Linked DNA regions of Anolis sagrei. The protein of the gene in region 1 interacts with the protein of each later gene in a biochemical or structural test. Links are inferred from orthologs where the notes say so. Each region holds a gene or a part of one and is shown on either strand. Other genes may lie near its edges.

Region 1 (7,075 bases):
CAGGAATGCATAATCGGGCAGTTTCAATTCAATACCTTCTTGCTGTGGAACAAAGAAACTTCTGTTTGAGAGGCTTTGCCTCCCAACAAAAATTCTCCCAGATTTTCTCTCTGCAAGAAAATGCATGTAAGGATCACAGACACACATCCCGAAACTGGAAGTCAAATTCCTAATTCATAAAAGCATAAAATTGGGGGGAGGGGATCAAGAACATAGGCCATGAACTCAAAACGAAATACATATAACTTCCCTTCCTCCAATAGAAAAAAAATACTACAGGGTGGGCCGAAAGTCACAAAGGGGCTTCAATATTTAAGAACTCCTTTATTTTAGAATAAACATTATATACAATACATAAATAAATAAATAAAACTACATTATCTGCAAAATCTTGTTTTTTCATTGCTTTAAAAAGTCATCAAAAACATCAGACATCTTTGTGACTTTTGGCCCACACTGTGTATTAGCGATCTCCAAAAGAAGAAAAAATACCATTAGCCTATTTTTGGGGAATTATTTCCCCCACCCACCTCAGACTTCAGGCATCCAGATTTCCTCCATCTGCGCCGAGTTCTTCCAGCAACGTTTTAAATCCCAAGAGTGGATTTTTTTCCTCCCCAACAAAAAAACGAAAGCAAAGGGGAGAAGCAACAACTCTCAGTTGGGAGTGCCAGGGGGAAAAAGAGAGGCCAAATAAGCTCTTCTTGTTGTTGTTTGGGGGGGGGAGTTTTTGTTTCCTTTCCAAAACCCTTTTCTCCCCTTCACTTTTTCCTCTTAAGTTGAAAAGAAAAGGCCTCTAGAGTCTCTTCTACTCTTCTTTCTCTGTGTATTTTACTCCCTTTTCCTTGGTTTTTTTTATTCTTTTTGTTGCTTCCTTTCCACACAACACTTTCCTCCTCTTCACTTTTTTTCCCACTCAGTGGAGAAAAGATCTTGTCTAATCTCTGTTTCTCTCCCTTCTTCTCCTTTCCGTCTCTTCTTCTTCTTGGGAGGACTTTCCCTGGTGCTTCCTTTGCACAAAACTCCTTTCTCCCCTTTTGGTCGAGAAGGGGACAAAAAAAATCTCTTCTTTTCTTCTGCCTGATTATATCCTTTATTCTCTTCCTCGTTTAAGTCTCTTCTTCTTGGGGGGACTTTCCTTGGTGCTTCCTTTCCACAAAACCCCTTCCTCCTCTTCACTTTTCCCCTCTCAGTCGAGAAGGGAACCAAAGAAGTCTTTCCTTCTCTCTGATTAGATCCGTTCTTCTCCTCCTTTCCGTGTTTCAGCCTCTTCTTCTTCTTGCTTTTGTCCTGGTTTGTTATCCTTTTCCAAAACTCACTCCAGTTGTGAAGAAGGAGAGAAAAGCTCTCGTCGAGTCTCTCCCTCTCTCTTCACCTCCTTCTTCCTCTGTTTCAGTCTCTTCTTGCAGTGTTTTTTTTTCCTTGACGTTGTTGTATCCTTTCAACAACTCACTCCAGTTGTGTAGATGGGGAAAAAGCTCTCGCCCGGTCTCAATTTTTTGTGTGTTTCAGTCCCCTTTTTCTCCTTCTCTTCTTCTTGCGTTTGCCGTTGTTTGTTGTACCCTTCCCACAACTCACTCCTGTTGTGAAGAAGGGGAGAAAAGCTCTCGTCGGGTCTCAGTCTTCGCGTGTTTCAGTCTCCTTTTTTTGCAACCTCCTTCTTCCCGTTTCAGTCTCTTCTTGCGGTGTTTTATTTCCTTGTTTGTTGTATCCTTTCCACAACTCACTCCAGTTGTGTAGAGGGGAGAAAAGCTCTAATTGAGTCTCAATATCTGCTTGTTTCAATCTCCTTTTTCTCCTCCTCGTTCTTCCCCTGTTTCAGTCTCTTCTTGCGGTGTTTTTCCCCCTTGTTGTTTGTTGTATCCTTTCCACAACTCACTCCAGTTGTGTAGAGAGGAGAAAAGCTCTGTGTGTGTTTCAGTCTCCTTTTTCTCCTCCTCCTTCTTCCCCTGTTTCTGTCTCTTCTTGCGGTGTTTTTCCCCCTTGTCGTTTGTTGTATCTTGCGGTGTTTTATTTCCTTGTTTGCTGTATCCTTTCCACAACTCACTCCAGTTGTGTAGAGAGGAGAAAAGCTCTCGTTGAGTCCCAATTTCTGTGTGTTTCAGTCTCCTTTTTCTCCTCCTCCTTCTTCCCCTGTTTCAGTCTCTTCCTGCGGTGTATTTTTTTCCTCTTGTCGTTTGTTGTATCCTTTCCACAACTCACTTGTACAGAGGAGAGAAAAGCTCAATCTCTGCGTGTTTCAGTCCCTTTTTCTCCTCCTTCTTTCCGTGTTTCAGTCTCTTCTTTCTTGCGGCGTTTTTCCCCCCTTGTTGTATCCTTTCCTGTTGCGAAGAAGGGGGAGGAAAGGTCTCCTCGCGATAATACTCTTGCGGGTTTTTCCCCCCACCTTGTTGTATCCTTTCCAATTGCGAAGAAGAAGGGGGGGGGGAGGAGAGGTCTCGTCGAGTCTCCTCCTTTCTCTCTCTCTTTCCGCCCTGACAAAATATGCGGTTTCAGGTGCCTCAAACGCCGCCCAGTCCCGGCTGAGGAGTCATTTCCTGCCCCTCATGAAACCCAACTGAGGCCTGCTTTCCCCGGCCTCTTGGAGGCCCAAACCCTCCTTCCTTCCTTCCCTCACGAGGCCTTGGATGCTGTCGTCGCCTCCTTCACTGCTACTAGGAAGGGAAAGCGAGATGGAGGCGCAACAAGCCCCTTCCTTCCCTCCTTCCTTCCTTCTCTCCTCCTCCTCCTTTTCCTTTCTTCCCCTGCTTCCTCTGCCTCACACTCGACTCCTCCTCCTCACACTTCCCCCTTCCTTCCTTCTTTCCCCATTATTCCCGCCCTCAGCAGCTCTCTCTCTCTCTCTCTCTCTGTATGAGGTGTTTCTCTCCTCAAAGGGCGGAGGAAGGGAGGGAGGAAGCAGCAACAGCTCAAGAGGGCGGCGGGCGTTACTATTACTACTACTACGCGGCTTTTGCGCCTCCGCCCAGGCCAGAGAGAGAGAGACTGAGAGAGGCCTTCCCTCCCTCCTCCTCCCTTTTCAGACTTTTCTTTCCCCCTCAGAGCCAGACAACAAGTCTGGCAATGGGCGACGCGCCTCAGCCAATCCGGAGAGAGGAGACTCCCGTCGCAGCCAATCAGGTGGCGCTCTCAAGGTTTGGCCGGGAAGGAAGGGAGGAAAAAGATCAGGTTAGGGTGTGAGGAATAAGAAAAAAAAATCTCTCTCTCTATATATAAAGATAGGTAGGAGGGAAGGAGAGGAAAGGGTTTTTTTTTTTTGTCACTTAGGTTTGGAGGGGAAATAATAATTTATTTATTTATTTGCTTTACTTTACTTGTATACTGCAGTTTCTCAGCCCAGCAGGCGACTCAAGGCGGTTTACAACAAGGAAAACATCAATCAACAATATACAATTTAAAACCATAAAAGCATAATATACAATATTGACACAACAACAGGTAGCACAATGCATCTCATAACATAACAGAGTCGCGATCCAATCCGTCATCTAACTAAAATGATAAAAGGTCTGGAGAACAAGCCCTATGAGGAGCGGCTTAAGGAGCTGGGCATGTTTAGCCTGAAGAAGAGAAGGCTGAGAGGGGATATGATAGCCATGTATAAATATGTGAGAGGAAGCCACAGGGAGGAGGGAGCAAGCTTGTTTTCTGCTTCCTTGGAGACTAGGACGCGGAACAATGGCTTCAAACTACAAGAGAGGAGATTCCATCTGAACATGAGGAAGAACTTCCTGACTGTGAGAGCCGTTCAGCAGTGGAACTCTCTGCCCCGGAGTGTGGTGGAGGCTCCTTCTTTGGAAGCTTTTAAACAGAGGCTGGATGGCCATCTGTCAGGGGTGATTTGAATGCAATATTCCTGCTTCTTGGCAGGGGGTTGGACTGGATGGCCCATGAGGTCTCTTCCAACTCTTTGATTCTATGATTCTATGATCCAAATTTCCATTCCTGTAATAAATTATTTCCTCTCCAAATAAATAATTTATTATTATTTCCTCTCCAAACCTAAGTGACAAAAAAAAACTTATTATTTCCTCTCCAGTACGCATGCCTAGTGTGGAACACATCTCACCACACTAAAACAGTAGATGTGGCTCTTAATGAGACATGCCGCATTATCACAGGGTGTCTGCGCCCCACACCACTGGAGAAATTACACTGCTTAGCTGGTATTGCACCACCTTACATCCGCCGGGAAGTAGCAGCCAATAGTGAAAGGACCAAGGCAGAGACATCTCCAGCTCATCCCCTGTTTGGGTTTCAGTCAGCACGTCAACGACTCAAATCAAGAAATAGTTTTCTTAGATCTACAGAGACACTCGCTGAAACACCTCAGCAAGCAAGAGTCCAAAAGTGGCAGGCCCAAACCCAGCACCTCAATCTGTGGGTGATGCCAGATGAGAGACTCCCCCCTGGGCACACAGAAGACTGGGCGACTTGGAAGGCGCTGAGCAGTCAGCGCTCTGGCACCACGAGATGCAGAGCCAACCTTCAGAAATGGGGCTACAAAGTGGAATCCACGGCATGCGAGTGTGGAGAAGAACAAACCACTGACCATCTGCTGCAATGCACCCTGAGCCCTGCCACATGCACAATGGAGGACCTTCTTGCGGCAACACCAGAGGCGCTCCAAGTGGCCAGATACTGGTCAAAGGACATTTAATCAACTACCAAGTTTGCAAAATCTGTGTTTTTTTAAATCTATTTGTTTGTTTTGTTCTGTTAGAAATGTAATACAATGGTATGGTTGCTGATGACACGATAAATACATTTTCTCTCCAAAGAAATGCTGGACCACTCTTACAACCACCATGTCAGACTACACAGGGAAGCCACTGAAATCCACAAGCATGTGGACAATTTCAACAGAAAGGAAGAAACCATGAAAATGAACAAAATCTGGCTACCAGTATTAAAAAACTCAAAAATTACAGCAGCAAAACAACAGAGAGTAAACAATCAGGCACATCTAATCACCTCTCAACAAAAGACTGCCCCAGGCACTGCCAGGCTATCAAATGCTAATCAAGGTGGTCAGTTGAAACATTCACACCTAGCTCCAGCAGACAAGAGTTCTTTGTCCCACCCTGGTCATTCCACAAATATATAAACCCATTTTCCTACTTCCAACAGACCTCACTACCTCTGAGGATGCTTGTCATAGATGCAGGCGAAACGTCAGGAAAAAATGCCTCTAGAACATGGCCATATAGCCCGGAAAAACCAACAACCTAATAATAAAGAGTTTGAATAGAGGACAAGTCAGGAGACCACTTTCAATCCTTGGGGAGGGGATAAGAAAGGGAAGAGGGTTTTAGTATTTGCATAAAGGAGAGTGAAACAGAAAGGTGTATACATAGGAGATATATAGATATAGGACTCAGTCACACACAGAATAGAGGGGTAGCATTACTTCCCTAACACAGTGTCTAGATATAGGGAAGTCATGCTACCCCTCTATTCTGCTTTGGTTAGACCACACCTGGAATATTGTGTCCAATTCTGGGCACCACAATTCAACAGAGATATTGACAAGCTGGAATGTGTCCAGAGGAGGGCGACTAAAATGATCAAGGGGCTGGAGAACAAGCCCTATGAGGAGCGGCTTAAGGAGCTGGGCATGTTTAGCCTGAAGAAGAGAGGAGATATTTATTTATTTATCATGTCATCAGCAACCATACCATTGTATTACAATTCAAACAGAGCAAAACAAACACACAGATTAAAAAGGGAAAAAAAGAGGAGATATGATAGCCATGTATAAATATGTGAGAGGAAGCCACAGGGAGGAGGGAGCAAGCTTGTTTTCTTCTTCCCTGGAGACTAGGATGCGAAACAATGGCTTCAAACTACAAGAGAGGAGATTCCATCTGAACATGAGGAAGAACTTCCTGACTGTGAGAGCCGTTCAGCAGTGGAACTCTCTGCCCCGGAGTGTGGTGGAGGCTCCTTCTTTGGAAGCTTTTAAACAGAGGCTGGATGGCCATCTGTCAGGGGTGATTTGAATGCAATATTATTATTATTATTATTATTATTATTATTAACTTTATTTGTACCCCGCGAGCATCTCCCGAAGGACTCGATGCGGCTTACACAGGCCGAAGCCACAACACACAATACAATAGAGAACGTAACAAGTAATAACGAAGCAAATCAAAAATCAAAAAGCAAATCAAAATCAGAAATTAGCGAGACAGCAATAACAATACATCAAGACATATTAAAACTGGTTCGGCCGGCGAGAGGGGTACAAGGTTAAAAGTGCTGAAATGGCAGGAGGGGCGTAGGAATTAAAGTATGGTGTGCAGCAATGTTAATTGTGCTAAAGTGCTACTAGGACTTGGGATAGGGATTCCTAATCTGGGAAGGCACAATGGAACAGCAAGTTTCCAAATATTCCTGCTTCTTGGCAGGGGGTTGGACTGGATGGCCCATGAGGTCTCTTCCAACTCTTTGATTCTATGATACTACAGCAACTTAAGCCCTTGGGAGTGTTTTGGACTCCCAACTCCCAGGGTAGGCTGTTAGGAATTGTGGAAGTTGGACTTCAAAACACCTGGAGGGCCAAAGTTTACTCATGCCTGCACTACAGAGTTATATTTTCCTTGGGAGCAAGGTTACAACAACATCTATTATAGAACTTCAGTATGCTGATGACAATGTCGTCTGTGCGCATTCAGAAGAAGACCTAAAAGCCACCCTAAACATCTCTGCAGAAGCATATGAGAAGCTCGGCCTGTCATTAAACATCGAGGAAACCAAAGTGCTCTTCCAGCAGTCACCAGCCAATCCCTCTCAAAGCCAACCTTAAAAACTCTGGCATAGACATTGAGAACTGGGAAGCCTTGGCCCTTGAGCGCTCCAGTTGGAGGTCAGCTGTGACCAGCAGTGCTGTAGAATTTGAAGAGGCTCGAATGGAGGGCGAAAGAGAGAAACATGTCAAGAGGAAGGCCTGTCAAGCCAACCCCGACCGGGACCGCCTTCCACCTGGAAACTGATGTCCTCACTATGGGAGAAGATGCAGGTCAAGAATAGGGCTCCACAGTCACTATGGACCCACCACCAGAACACCAACCTT
Region 2 (7,883 bases), about 110 Mb from region 1:
CCTCACAACCTCTGAGAATGCCTGCCATAGATGTGGGCAAAATGTCAGGAGGGAATGCTTCTGGAACATGGCCATACAGCCCAGAAAACTCACAGCAACCCAATGTATCTTTGGTGTCTGCTGGAATTTGGTTCCAGGACACCCCACTGTATAACATTACACATATGGAAGCCTGACTGCACATACATGTGTGTTTGTACACCTTCAAATCACCTTACGGTGACCCTGTGGATTTCCGAGGGTTTTCTTAGGCAAGGACTAGCCAGAGGTGGCTTTGCTTGCATACATGCAGCTTAAAGTAAAGCCCTAGCCTGGCAAAGACCTCCACAGACAGGCATACAGGCATTTGCCCGGCTGCTGGCTTTCATTAAGCTCTCCTTCCAAGCCGGGGTTACTCTCGGTCATTTCGTGCAACTTGGAGCTGTGTGGGTTTGTTTTTTGTCTTGTGCCTTTTTCTCTGTCAGTACATCTTGCGCCTCGTCTCAGCAGCCCCAACTGGAGGCACTTTCCGAGAAAGCAGCAGCAGCAGAGGAAAAAAGTATTTGTGAGAGAAAGAGAAAGAAAGAAAGAAAGAAAGAAAAGTGTGTGACAGAGAGAAAGGAAGACAAGTGTGTGAGAGAAAGGAAGGGTGATGCTTTATATACTGATAACATAATAATACCATATTTAATATGTCTTCTTTTACTTCCATATTGATTTTGTATTGTTATTTTGCCGATCTAATTTTAAAGAGATTGTTAATCTTATTACTGTTTATTGTTTGGGTTGTTTTGAGCTACTCTGAGTCCCCTTGGGGAGATGGGGCAGGAAACAAATAAAGATGATAGTGATGATGATGGTGGTGGTGATTATTAGAAAAGTGTGTGTGTGTATGTGTGTGAGAGAGAGAGGAAGAAAGAAGGAAGGAAAGAAGGAAGGAAGGACGAAAAAGTGTGTGAGGAAGGAAGGAAAGAGGGAGGAGGGAAGAAAAGAAAAGTGTGTGTGAGAGAAAGGATGGAAGGAAGAAAAGAAAGAAAAGTGTGTGAAAGACAGAAAGAAGGAAGGAAGGGAAAAAAGTGTGTGTGAGAGAGGACAGAAGGAAGGAAGGAAGGAAGGAAGGAAGGAAGGAAGGAAGGAAGGAAGGAAGGAAAGAAAAGTGTGTGTGAGAGAGGACGGACGGAAGGAAGGAAGGATGAATGTGTGAGAGAGGAAGGAAGGAAGGAAGAAAAGTGAGTGAGTGTGCGAGAGAGGGAGAGAAGTGTGTGAGAGAAAGGAAGAAAAGTGTGTGAGAGAAAGGAAGGAAAGGAAGAGAACAATGTGTGAGAGAAGAAGAAAGGAAGGAAAGAAGGAAAGTGTGTGTGAGAGAGAGAGAGAGAAAAGTGAGTGTGTGAGAGAGAGAGAAAGGAAGAAAAGTGTGTGAGAGAAAGGTAGGAAGGAAGAAAAGTGTGTGAGAGGAAGGAAGGAAGGGATGTGTGTGTGTGTGTGAGAGAGAGAGAAAGTGTGTGAGAGAAAAGAAGGTAGGAAGAAAAGCAAGAAAAGTGTGTAAAGAGGAAGGAAGGAAGGAAACTATGTGTGTGAGAGAGAGAGAAGTGTGTGAGAGAGGAAGGAAGGAAGGAAGGAAGGAAGGAAGGAAGGAAGGAAGGAAGAAAAGAATAAAAGGTTGTGTGTGTGTGTGTGAGAGAGAGAGAGAGAGAGAGAAAAGGTGTGAGAGAAAGGAAGAAAGGGAACAATGTGTGAGAGAGGAAGGAAGGAAGGAAGGAAGGAAGGAAGGAAGGAAAGTGTTTTTGAGAGACAGAGAGAGAGAGGAAGGAAGGAAGGAAGAAAGGAAGGAAGGAAGGAAGGAAAGGAAGAAAACTGTGTACAGAGGAAGGAAGGAAGGAAGGAAGGAAGGAAGGAAGGAAGGAAGGAAGGAAGGAAGGAGTAGAGAGAGGAAGGAAGGAAAATGTGTGTGTATGAGAGAGAGAAAGAAAAGTGTGTGAGAGAGAAAAAGAACAAAAGCAGCTTTCCTCTGCTTTGTGTCTCAATACTTCCTGTATGTCTTTCTTCCCTTTCTTTTACATGCCCAATCTTCAAAGTTCAATGTCAATGAAGCTTGTGGGTACACCAACACCATAGAGACATTTGGGGGAAGCTGGACAACGAGAGTCCTGAGGGATGTGTGCTTTTCCTTTGGTGAGCGATTGCTCCATCTCCACTAGAAAACCAGGGCAGTTTGACCCCACTTTTTCATTGCCAAGACTCAATGCTATTGGGTTCCTGGGAGTTGTAGCCTAGGAATTGTCCCTGGGAGTTGGGCAGAGAAGGCTAAAGGTGATGCAGAACTATAGGATTCCCATAGGATTGAGCTGTGGGGCTGGGACAGCTCCCCAAACGTTCCCTTTCCTAACCCATCACCGCCTTCTTCTTCTTTGTCCTTTCCAAGCCAGAAAGGACAAAGGAGTGTGTTTTCCCCTCCTCCGCCTTTCCAGTAACTCCCATCCAAACAAACCCCCCAACTTTGGGTCTCAAGCCACTCTTGACCCCGGGTTCGAATCCCGATGACCCCAAATTGGGTCAGAAAAGCCTTGGGACACCTTGCCAACGACTCAATTCCCCCACATTTCCTTGCCTGGAGCTAAGAAGACAAACAATTGACGGGGCAGGCAGGAGAAAGCACTCTGCACACGCTCAGACATCCTCTGGTCTCTTTTTGTTCTCAGTACACAAAGATCCACCCGTGGGACAAAGAGGGTGAGAAGAAATAACCCCCTTCTGACTCTCCTCCCCAAGTTTGCCCCCCTCCACCCTGTTGTTGTTGTTGTTGTTATGATTACCTCCTCGCCAGTTTGATGGGGAGGCGATTTTTCTCTCCCTCCGGCCAGGAATTGGAAAGACCTCCCGGAGTAGATCGGGGAGCCACTCGATCGGGGGCTCCTCCGGCTTCCTTTGTGGCTCCCACCGACGCGGCTGGGGCCAAACCAGGGCCAGTCCCGGACCCGGAGCGCCTTATATAGATCCCGCCGGCGCTGCGCCGAGGAGGTTATTATCGGTCAAGCGCGGCTTCCTTTCTGCCGCTCTGTTTATGTGTGGCCGTCACTCAGCCGCGGCACGTGGAGGGCTGGGACCGCCTCTTAAAGGGGACGCGTACATTTGGGGGGGGGGAGTAGAGAGCCCCCACCAATCTCTGCTGCTGTTCTTGTTGTCATTGGGGAACTCCAAGCCCTTTCTCACCCATGGGGAACCCCCAAACGAACCTACCCCAGGATTTCTTAAGATGGGGTATGGCCACTGCTTTCCTCTGAGGCTGAGAGAGTGTGACTCGCCCAAGATCACCCAGTAGGTTCCCAAGGCTGAGTGGGGATTGCAGCTCCACTTCCCAGACCTCAATCTATAGCACTATGTAACAAAATTTGATTTTTTTTTCTGTTCCTGGTTTGAAAGTCTTATAAAAGGTAAACGTTTTCCCCTGACGTGAAGTCCGGTCATGTCCGACTCTGGGTGTGGTGCTCATCTCCATTTCTAAGCCGAAGAGCTGGCGTTGTCCGCAGACCCTTCAAGGTCATGTGGCTGGCATGACTGCATAGAGCACTGTTACCTTCCCACTGGAGCAGGCCCGTAGCCAGGATTTCGATTCAAGGGCTGAGTTTGTTTGGGGGGGGGGGGGGGGGGGGCTGAGTCTGCGTAAAAGAGGGTCTACCCTAGCAAACGTTTTATATTGTTACCCCAATATCCCCATGCATATGGGAAATATTGAGTATGGTGATCAGATCATGATATGAATAAACATAACAGTTTAAACAGTAAGGCCTTTTCGTGAACCACCATGAGAATTTCAGGGGAGGGGCTGAAGCCCCTCAAGCCCCCCCCCCCCCCCCCCAGCTACATGCCTGCACTGGAGCAGTACTTATTGATCTATTCAGGGCTGGCTCGTCCATTACGCGAAGTAAGCGGTCGCAGAACACTTTTTTTTGCCAGGGGCGCAGAGGAACCTCTGTAAATGCCCCTCGACCGCCACTTGAGGAGCACCCCCTCAGCTCACAACAGCCCTAGCAGTCCGGGGGGCGCCTTGGCTTTCTTGCCTCGCTGCCGGGTGATCCTCTTCCCAAAGGGGCCAGACCCTTGAGCCTCGCCTAGCGCCTCTTGTTCCTGCTCCACCCGGCCACCGGGTGCGCGAGCAGAGCCTGTGCTCAATCGTTCTCTGCGTTCGATCCCTTCCCCATGACCGGCTCTCATGACCGGCTCTCATGACCGGCTCCCATAGAATCATAGAATCATAGAATCAAAGAGTTGGAAGAGACCTCATGGGCCATCCAGTCCAACCCCCTGCCAAGAAGCAGGAATATTGCATTCAAATCACCCCTGACAAATGGCCATCCAGCCTCTGCTTAAAAGCTTCCATGACCGGCTCCACCCGCCTCCTCTCCTTTCCCCAATCTGCGGGTGGGCCAAGGGGCGGAGCCGTCGCGCCTGGCCCACTTCGGGTCCAGAGGCATGTCTGAAGACCCCAGCATGCGCACCAAAAGTCACCTCTTCTCCTGACTTTCTCTTCAGCCATTGGGACCAAGAGAGAGAGAGAAAGAGAGAGACCCTCCAGCTGGAGGTGTCTCCTACCTCCGCTCCCTCCTTTGTTTTTGCACCTATCTTCAGGAAAGGTGGGCATCTCCACCTCTGTCTCTCTCTCTCTCTCTCTCGGTCCCAATGGCTGAGGAGAAAGTCAGGAGAAGAGGTGACTTTTGGTGCACACGCCGGGGTCTTCAGGCACGCCTCTGGATCCAAAGCGGGCCAGGCAAGGGAGCAAGTGTGGCAAGTGTAGTTACTGGGATGTATAGTTCATCTACAATCAAAGAGCATTCTGAACTCCACCAATGATGGAACTGAACCAAATATGGTACACAGAACTCCCACGACGAACAGAAAATATATATCAATGATTGGTTGGGGGGGGGGGGGGATACTGTTTGCTTACCATTGAAAATTACCTAGGGCCGCCTCTCTACTCACATTTGCATGTTTTCAAACTGCTAGGTTGGCAGAACCTGGGGCTAACAGTAAAAAGTCTTATAAGCATAAATATATACATAGATATACATGTATGTATTTATTTATTTCATATACTTGTACCCCACCCTTCTCACCCCTGGGCGGCCTCAAAGCAAACACCATTCTGTGCCCTTATAATGATAAAAACAATCAACCAATTCATTAAAACAAAACATTAAAGAAACAGTTGTTAAAACACGCCAATAAAAATCCGGATTCAGGTCAATTCATTGTCACTTCGAAATTGCTTATGTCTTCTTCATACAAGCCGCTGTTCAATGGTCAAATGCAAGATCCCACAGCCAAGTCTTAAGTTTCCTTCTAAAGGCAGGAGGGAGGTGGCCAGTCTGATGTCTTTGGGGAGGAAATTCCACAGATGGGGGCCACTGTTGAGAAGGCCCTCTCTCGTCTCCACCAATAGCATTTGCGACGGCGGTGGGATCAAGAGCAGGGCCTCTCCAGATGATCTTAAACTTCATGATGATTCGTAGCAGGAGATACATTCGGACATATAGTCTGGGCCAGAACCGTTTAGAGCTTTAAAGGTTACAACCAGCACTTTGAATTGTGCTCGATAGCGGATCAGCAGCCAGTGGAGCTGGTGTAATAGGAGTTGTATACTCCCTGTACGCCACTCTGGTGTGCAACCTGGCTGCCAACTGTTGGACTAGTTGAAGTGTCCGGGCAGTCTTCAAAGTCAGCCCCATGTAGAGCGCATTGCAGTAGTCTAATTGGGATGTAACAAGAGTGTGGCCCACTGTGGCCAAGTCAAACTTCCCAAGGTACATGCAGACATATCCACACAATATCTTTCTATTTATCTATCTGTGGCACAGCTAGTTAGTAGCCAAGGAGGCTGTCCGAACCTTGAACTGGTGTTTGGTTGCTGTGTCGGGCCGGATGAGAGCTAACCAATTGAAATTGAATCCAGACAAGACAGAGGTCCTACTGGTCAGTCGTAAGGCCGAACAGGGCATAGGGTTACCGCCTGTGTTGGATGAGGTTACACTACACATGAAGACAGGTACGCAGCTTGGGAGTGATCCTGGACTCATCGCTGAGCCTGGAACCCCAGGTCTCGGTGGTGGCTGGGATCGCTTTTGCACAGTTAAAACTTGTGCGCCAGCTGCACCCGTACCTTGGGAAGTTGGATCTGGCCACAGTGGTCCATGCTCTTGTCACATCCCGGATAGATTACTGCAACGCACTCTACGTGAAGACTGTTCAGAAACTGCAATTATTCCAAAGGGTGGCAGCTAGATTACTCACCGGAGCGTCATACAAGCAGCATACCCACCCACCCCCCATGGTGTCCGCTCCATTGGCTGCCGATCCAATTCCGAGCACAATTCAAAGTGCTGGTCTTGACCTATAAAACTCTATACGGCTCTGGTCCAGCATACCTGTCTGAACGTATCTCCTTCAACGTCCCACCTCAGAGCTTAAGATTTTCTGGGGAGGCCCTGCTCTCGGCCCCGCCTTTGTCTCAAACACATATGGCAGGGACAAGGGACAGGGCCTTCTCGATGGTGGCCTCCCGCCTGTGGAATTCGCTTCCTGGGAAAATTAGGTCATCGTCATCCCTCCTCACCTTTAGAAAGAAGGTAAAAACATGGTTGTGGGACCAGGCCTTTGGGCAATTAGGTTAAAGGACTATTGATAATGTTTGACTATGGCTTGGAAGTGAATTTGGATAAGTTAAGCAGAGTAATCATTAGTATATGGCTAAATAAATAGCCACCAGACTGGCAATAGTTAAATGGATCATAAGTATACTGTTTAATCTTTATTTCTTAATGTTCATGTTTTTAATTATTAAATTTTCTATTTTGTATTTTATGATGCTGCAATGAAGCCGCCCTGAGTCCCCCTAGGGGTTGAGAAGGGTGGGGTAAAAATGTTCAAAATAAATAAATAACTGCTTTAAATTACTACTGACCAAGAGCCGGCGTTGTCTGTAGACACCTCCAAGGTCATATGGCCCGAATGACTGCATGGAGTGCCGTTACCTTCCCACTGGAGCAGTACCTATTGATCTACTCACATTTGCATGTTTTCGAACTGCTAGGTTGGCAGAAGCTGGGGCTGACAGCAGAAACTCAAGGCGCTTCCTGGATTTCAACCTTTGACCTTTCTGTCAACAAACTCAGCAGCTCAGCGGTTTAATCCACTGCGTCACCAGTTATGTGCATTCAAATTATTTGTGAGCTTTGGCAGCCCTAAGTAAAACCTGTCACAGGGTATTCTTGGTAAGATTTGTTCATAATGCTTAGGTCAGCATGCTACAACATAAGGAAAATGAACATCATGATGACCTAAGCATTATGAGCAATAAACGAAATGGAACTGATCAGAATTGTCCTTCCAATCTTTTATTTGTCCTGCAGAGCAAAACATACAGTTTCCTACACAACACTAGGTTCTCCAGACGTCGATCTGCAAATCCAATCAACAATACCCAATATAAACAGTGGAGAGTCAAACAGACCCTATTCCCCTAACTCAAGCAAGGGCAAACTTCGCCTCGTCAGGTGTTTTGGACTTCAACTCCCACAATTCCTAACATCTGGTAAGTTGGCTGGGATTTCTGAGAGTTGAAGTCCAAAACACCTGGAGGGCCAAAGTTTGTCCATGCCTGCCCTATATGAGCCTCAGTGTTTCCCTCCATATGGCAAATGCCAGCTTAGGGAAGTGAAGTGTGTGGGACAATTGTGGAAATGACACAGAGGTATCTCCACTACCCGTGGGCTGCAGCTGCTGTTAATCTATATCTTCTCTATATATAAAAATGCACTGTGCTTAATGAGTACCTTAAAAACAAAAGAACCAATGAACGAAATCACACCAAATTTGGCAACAAAATGTCTCACAACACAAGGAGTGAC
Region 3 (7,278 bases), on another chromosome or scaffold:
AAGAATTAACTTCACCACTCAGTCATATGGTTTGAAGAATGAGAAACAATTATATATAAATAAACTAATTGCCCTTGTATATATTATACTTAACAAACCAAAATGATGTGGAAAATGAAATAGTAGAAAAACGTTGGTCTCAATGGATGCAAACATAGTGCTAGTCTTTGACATATTGGAAAAATAAAATATAACTAGTGGACACAAATATGGCCACCTTGGGGTGGGAGGAGACTGGTTTTCCTATATCAGATAGTGTATACCTGCATGTCAGGAAGTTGGACTGGATGGTCCTTGCAGTCTCTTTGAACTCTATGATTCTGTAACTTAAAAGGCACTGTTCTTGTGAAGTGACCATGCATGTGCAGTTACATACATCTGATCAGAGACAAGATACGCACATACATACTTTAAGAGAACAAAACATCCACGAAACAATAAAAATGTACAAAATATGCACATAAAACACATATGCTTCCAAAGCTCCACTGGCTTCTTCATTAGGCAAAAGTGTTAACAATCATACAAGAAAAAGAAAAAATGAGAAGTTAGACTCATAGGTCTGTGTTCTCTCAGGGTTTTTGTTGTTGTCAGTTAAGATGTTCTGGAGAGATATCAATGGAATCAGAGGACCTTTGTAGTCATGTGAGCACTGAAACTAAGGCCCAATCCACACCACCATAATACAACTTCAAATGGCATTTTATGACAGTGTAGATGTGGCCAAAAAGCTGTAAAATGAGGGCAATAAAACTGCAACTCCATTAACATCAGAAAAAATAACTTTCCTTTCTGAACTGCTGATTGTTTAAAATACATCAAAAATAGGGTTTCCATTAAGTGTATTGGCTATTACTTGTGTGTGTGAATATGTCACCTGTCTACTTATGGTGACTTTATACATTTCATAGGGTTTTCTTAGGCAAGGAATACTCAGAGGTAGTTTTACCAGTCTATTCCTTTGAAATATATATAGCCCATAGGACCGTATGTGTTGGCTGTCCCATCCAAGTATTAATCAGGCCTGACCTTCCTTCGCATGCAAATCAGATGGGACCTGTTACCTTTAGTAAAGTACATCTCCAAAATCTTCAACAAAATTTGTGGGAAGGATACACACACATGCACACACACAAAGTAAATAAAATATATCTCATATATGTTAGGGACAAATACAAAAATACAGCAGAGTTGAGGGAAAGAAAAGGAACAAAGTGGATTGGCTGTTGCTAGGTGAAGTGGCCCTCTGTAACATACTTGGGAAAGAAAGGGAGGGAAGTAGATTGGCTGCTGCTAAGTGATGTGTATGCAGAGAAGGTAGGGAGGAAGGAAAACAAAGGGAAACAAAGGAAGGAAAAAGGAAAAGAGTGAGAGAGAAGAAAGAAAAAGGAGGGAAGGAAGAGAAAGGAAAGAGGAGAAGCAGGCATGTAGCGGGGGGGGGGGGGGTCTTGAGGGGCTTCAGCCCCCCCCCTGAAATTCTTATGGTGGTTCGCGAAAAGGCCTTATTGGTGCATTATTTAAACTGTTGTTTATTCATATCATGATCTGATCACCATACTCAATATATCCCATATGCATGGAGAAGTGGGTAATGATACAAAAGGTTTGCTAGGGTAGACCCTTTTTCACTCAGACACAGCCCCCCCCCCCAAACTCAGCCCCCCCAAAAAACCCTGACAAAAACTCAGCCCCGCCCCTCCCCCCAAATCGAAATCCTGGCTACGGGCCTGGGGAGAAGGTATGAGGGAAGGGAAAGAAAGAGAAAGGAATGGGAAAAAGGGGGGGGGGAGGGAGGGAGGTTAGAAAGAAAAAGAAGCGAAGAGAAGTGAAGGAAGATAAAGGGAAGAAAGAAAGAAAATGTGTATGAGGGAAACAGCAGAAGAAGGAAAAAAAGAGCTGCAAAGAAAATGCAAACCCGGACAACAGTACTATTTAAAAGGCATGTTGCCTGTGTGGCTTTAATCTATTTGATGAAGACGTTTCTGAGGATGCATTTATACTGTAGAATTAATTCAGTTTCACACCACTTTAATTTTCATGGCTCAACGCTATGGTGGCATGGGATTAGAAATTTTACTAGGCATTTAATCTTCTCTGCCTGAGTTCTGCTTCCCATCATCATTAGCCGTATTTATGTATTTTAATTGTTTTGTAACCCACCTCGAGCCATGAGGAGAGGCGGGTAAGGAATATTATCATTATCATTATTATTACAGGATTCCATAGTGCAGAGCCATGGCACTTAAAGTGGGGTCAAACTGCATTAATTACACAGTGTAGATAACTTTGGCCCTCCAGGTGTTTTGGTCTTCAACACCCACAATTCCTAAATATTAGGAATTGTGGGATTTGGCGTCCAAAACATCTGGAGGGCCAAAGCTTTCCCATGCCTGGTGCACCCTGAGTGGTGAGGAAACAGTAGAGTTTACTTAGGGCACAAGTTCCTGCTGTTATTGGTTCCCATTCTCCCCCCAGTTCCTCCCTGGGGTGCATCTACATCAGGCAGGGGCAGACTTTGGCCCTCCAGGTGTTTTGGACTTCAACTCCCACAGTTCCTAACTGTTATGAATAGTGAAAGTTGGAGTCCAAAACAACTGGAAGGCTCAAGTCTGCCCAGGCCTGATATAGATGCACCCCGAGAATAGTGGAGGAAACACTAGACCAGTGGTTCTCAGCCTTTGGGTCCCCAGATGTTTTGGCCAACAACTCCCAGTAATCCTAGCTAATTTACTAGCTGTTAGGGGTTCTGGGAGTTGAAGGCCAAAACATCTGGGGACCCACAGGTTAAGAACCAGTGCAGCAGAGTTTACTTAGAGCAGAAGTTCCTGCATTTCTTGCTGTTATTGGTTCCCATCCTCCCCCATTACCTCCCAGTTCCTCCCTGGAGTGCATCTATACCAAGCATGAGCAAACTTTGGCCCTCCAGATGTTTTGCACTTCAACTCCTACAATTCCTAAGTGTTAGGAATTGTGGGAGTTGGAGTCCAAACAACCTGCAGGGACGAAGTTTGCCCAGGCCTGGTGTAGATGCATCCTGAAAGTGGTGGGGAAGCAATAGAGTTTACTTAGGGCACAAGTTCCTGCATCTCTTGCTGTTATTGGTTCCCATCCTCCCCCATTACCGCCCTGGAGTGCATCTACACCAGGTATGAGCAAACTTTGGCCCTCCAGGTGTTTTGCACTTCAACTCCCACAATTCCTAAGTGTTAGGAATTGTGGGAGTTGAAGTCCATGCATCTCTTGCTGTTATTGGTCCCCATCCTCCCCTCATTACCTCCCAATTTCTCCCTGCATCTACACCTGGCAGGGGCAAACTCTGGCCCTCTAGGTGTTTTGGACTTCAACTCCCACAATTCCAAACTGTTAGGAATTAGGCTTGGGCAAACTTCAGCCCTCCAGGTGTTTTGGACTCCAACTCCCACAATTCCTACAGGTGTTTTGCACTCCCACTCCCACAATTCCTTTTAGGAATTGTGGGAGTTGGAGTCCAAAACACCTGGAGGGCTGAAGTGTTTTGGACTCCAACTCCCACAATTCCTACAGGTGTTTTGTACTCCAACTCCCACAATTCCTGTTAGGTGTACATCAGGCCTGGGCAAACAGTGTACATCAGTGTACACTGTACATCAGGCCTGGGCAAACTTCGGCCCTCCAGGTGTTTTGGACCCTAACTCCCACAATTCCTGTTAGGAATTGTGGGAGTTAGAATCCAAAACACCTGGAGGGCCGAAGTTTGCCCAGGCCTGATGTACACTGTAAATTGGAACGCAGCTTGAGCAGACATTGACTGCCATGGCTCAATCCTATGGAATAGTGGGAGCTGTAGCTTCAGAAGGCCTCGAGGTTGCTGCTCGGCCGAAGAGTGCTGGTGCCTCACCAAATTTACAACTCCCAGGATCCCCCAGCATGGAGCCTTGGCAGTTGAAAACGGTGTCAAACTGTAGATGACTGTAGCGGGGTGTGGAGGTGCGAGAGAGCCCCTCTCCCTGGGCCGGGCCTGACCTGAAGGAAGTGCAGCTTCCCCCCTTCTTCTCCTTCTCCTCGCCTGCTCGCCCGCCGGCCTCTTCACAGCATCGGTAACCCTGGCAACCTCAGCTGGCTCCGCCATTGGGCGGTTTGAGCCCCGCGGCGGGCCAATGGCGAGGCGTCTCGCGGCGCGCTCCTCCAATCGGGGCGAGGCGCAGGGCAGGGCGAGGCGCTGACGTCTGGCGGAGGGGCGGGGAGAAGCAGGCGGCGAAGGAAGGGAGGGAGGGAGGAAGGAAGGAGGGTTTCGTGTTTCTCCTCAGCGGTGGCGGCACCGGGACCATGGGCGCCCCGGGGTAGGGCCCTTCCCGGCCGGCGGGGAGGCGGCGGTGGCGGCCCCTCCGCGCCAGCGAAGACTCGGCGCCGCGGTGAGTGAGGGAGTGAGGGAAGGAAGAGCGTGAGGGAGGGAGGGAGGAGGGGAGGGCGCGGGGCCAGGTGGGTCGCCTCCCTGCATCCTGAGGCAGCTCCTCGCCACCCTCACCCCCGCCTTGCCCTCTCCTTCTTCCAGCAACTTCCCTCCCTGTGGGAGACCAAGGGGAAGAAGGCACGAGGCATCCAGCCTGGCTCGCCTCTTTCCCATCCTTTCCTCCAACTTGCCCCTCCTTGTGGTCATATTATTACTTTATCGCATTACTAGTATTATATTGTTGTTAGTGTAATTATTACCCCCCATTTTGACCTCCCATTGCGAAACAGGAGAGTTTCAAGTGCCCCCTCATTCTCTCAAAACTTGCCAACCTCCCTTGAAATCCTCGTGGTATCATCATCATCATCATATCATTATTTTTTATTACATTTACATGTATTTGTTTCAAACAGGACGGTTTCAATTGCCCCCTCATTCTCTCAAAACTTGCCAACCTCCCTTGAAATCCTCGTGGTATCATCATCATCATATCATTATTTTTTATTACATTTACATGTATTTGTTTCAAACTGGAGGGTTTCAAGTGCCTCATAATTCTCCCAAAACTTGCCAGCCTCCCTTGAGATCCTTGTGGTATCATCACATCATTATTTTTTATTATATTTACATGTATTTGTTTCAAACAGGAGGGTTTCAAGTGCCCCATCATTCTCCCAAAACTTGCCAGCCTCCCTTGAAATCCTCGTGGTATCACCATCATCATATCATTTTTTATTATATTCAAATGTATTTATTTCCCATGGTCAATGTAATGTGTCTCCTTGGTTTGGTTATGCTTAGCACTGCTTCCTCTCTGCTTATCTTGTCTCCTTTTGCTTCCTTTCTCATCCCACTTTACGACTCCCAAGATCCTTTCTTTTACCCTCTAAGTAACCTTTGCATCGCCCCTCTCCCCCACTATATCTTATTTTTATTATATTTACGGTGTAATTATTTCTCATCGTCAGTGTGTCTCCTTGGTTTGGCTCTGCTTAGGACTGCCGCTCCTCATAAACATTGCTGCTTGTCTTGTCTTTTCTCGTTTCCTTTCCCATCCCACTTTCCAAGATCCTCTCCTTTACCCTCTAAGTAACCTTTGCATTGCCCCCCTTCCCACTATACCTCCTCCTTCCTTATCTTCCCATCCTAAGCATAATTCCCCCTCCCCCCTTTCTCTTTATCTTCAGGGTGCTTTCCCCCCACCCATTTCCCTATTTTACTTATTTTCTTTTGTAAATCAGCAGTGGGTGCTCCATCTTATCATCCTGACAATATTCTGCTTCCATCAACTCTGCCTTCTGTGTCTTCCCATCCTAAACATTTTATTTATTTATTTCTTATCCTAAGAGTGTGTTGTGGTGGAGCAATGGGTTAAACTCTTGTGCTGACAGGGCTATTGACCAAAAGGTCAGCGGTTCAAATCCGGGGTGCGGGGTGAGCTCCTGTCTGTCAGCTCCAGTTCACCATGTGGGGACATGAGAGAAACCTCCCACAGTGTGGTCAAACATCCGGGTGTCCTCTGGGCAACGTCCTTGCAGACAGCCAATTCTCTCACACCAGAAGCGACTTGCAAATTCTTAAGTTGCTCCTGGCACAATTTTAAAAAATTCTAAGGATGCCCATATCCATCAGTTTCTTGTTCAATTTTTTTAATATAAATAGGCTCCACCTTAGCTGTCCTCCTATCTCCTGTAACAACTTCCTTTATGCAGATTCCGCCACCTCCTTTTTATTACTTGTCTCCTTTGCCCTTCCTCGTGTAGTTTGGGCTTACTGGTTGAAATGGGTACCATTCTATACAGCACCCCACGAGTCTTTTACTAGAACATAGACTCTCTTAATGTTTCCATTTGTCCTGAAATAACTCCCTCCCCACTCATCTCACGATATTTATCTCCCCTGAAATTCCTCTCATTGTAACTTGCTATTCTTCCTCACCAGGAATTTACCTGATGTCCTTCACTCCCTGAACATTGCCTTTTGAAAAAAAATCCTGGCCTTTCTTTAATTTTTGGCCCCTTGTTAAAAGGGATGCGCTCTAATTTCTGTAAAGCTTTTCACTCCTTATCCTGTATCTGATATTGCCTTTTAGTTATCTGTTTACTCCTGTGTGCCTTTTTCCCATTCCTTGAGTGCCAGTAACAGCTCTCCTCCTGACTAGTATGCACAAACCTGTTCATGCCTCCCAAACCCTGACAATTCGCTTTCCATCCCTTCAATTCTATTTCCATTCCTTTGCCTCAGCCTTTCTCTCCTTGTCGTTGCAGGCATTTCTTCCTGCTTCTTCGGCTTCTTAAAAGCCCTTCCCCTCATTTCCCTGTTCCCTCGGCTCAGTCTTGGCCCTCCAAAAACCCTTCTTTCTTAACCTGTATAGTCTACCCTCACTCGACCTCGCCCCATCTTGTATTTCCCCCATTTGCTTGTTAGAGCTCCTTGCATCTAAGCTTGAGGAGAGAATCCATAGAGTGCCAGTGGCATTTTCTCTTTCTCCCCGCTCTCTTTCTCCCTGTCCTGGCTTTCCTCTGAAGCAGACCAGACCTCACAACTCCTATGCCCCTGCAATCACTTTGTAGGGGGAAGACTGGGAGGGGTAGTGGCTGCTTGCCTTTTTGGCTGCATGTTTGAGGAGTGCGACAGACGGACGGAAGCGGTTGGCTCTCTGGGCGAATGGGAGGGCAGGTGTGTGTGCTTGTGTGTGGGAGGGGGCACGTAGTTTGCTCCTGGAGCTTTCCGATAGTGCAGGAATGTGAGGAATGCCTAGGAAGACTGCTGCAACAGATCCGCTCCTTGCCCAGCTCTCTTAACAGCCAAAGGTCACTGGACCATCTATCCAGTAGGAAGCCGCTGCA

The links.
Region 2: the proteins of ERBIN (region 1) and ABCA1 interact in a test that uses a peptide from one of them, tested with the Homo sapiens proteins (2 studies listed by BioGRID and IntAct). The link is inferred for Anolis sagrei from reciprocal best matches to the Homo sapiens genes ERBIN and ABCA1.
Region 3: the proteins of ERBIN (region 1) and PKP4 form a complex in vitro, tested with the Homo sapiens proteins (4 studies listed by BioGRID and IntAct, with this or other methods). The link is inferred for Anolis sagrei from reciprocal best matches to the Homo sapiens genes ERBIN and PKP4.

What each region holds. Positions count from the first base shown.
Region 1 is NC_090022.1:267,864,946-267,872,020, forward strand, and holds the start of ERBIN (erbin), read right to left. Parts: upstream 3,024-7,075; 5' UTR 531-3,023; intron 1-530. UniProt on the Homo sapiens protein: Acts as an adapter for the receptor ERBB2, in epithelia. By binding the unphosphorylated 'Tyr-1248' of receptor ERBB2, it may contribute to stabilize this unphosphorylated state.
Region 2 is NC_090022.1:158,798,774-158,806,656, forward strand, and holds the start of ABCA1 (phospholipid-transporting ATPase ABCA1), read right to left. Parts: upstream 3,041-7,883; 5' UTR 2,793-3,040; intron 1-2,792. UniProt on the Homo sapiens protein: Catalyzes the translocation of specific phospholipids from the cytoplasmic to the extracellular/lumenal leaflet of membrane coupled to the hydrolysis of ATP.
Region 3 is NC_090021.1:201,404,734-201,412,011, reverse strand, and holds the start of PKP4 (plakophilin-4), read left to right. Parts: upstream 1-4,238; 5' UTR 4,239-4,391; intron 4,392-7,278. UniProt on the Homo sapiens protein: Plays a role as a regulator of Rho activity during cytokinesis. May play a role in junctional plaques.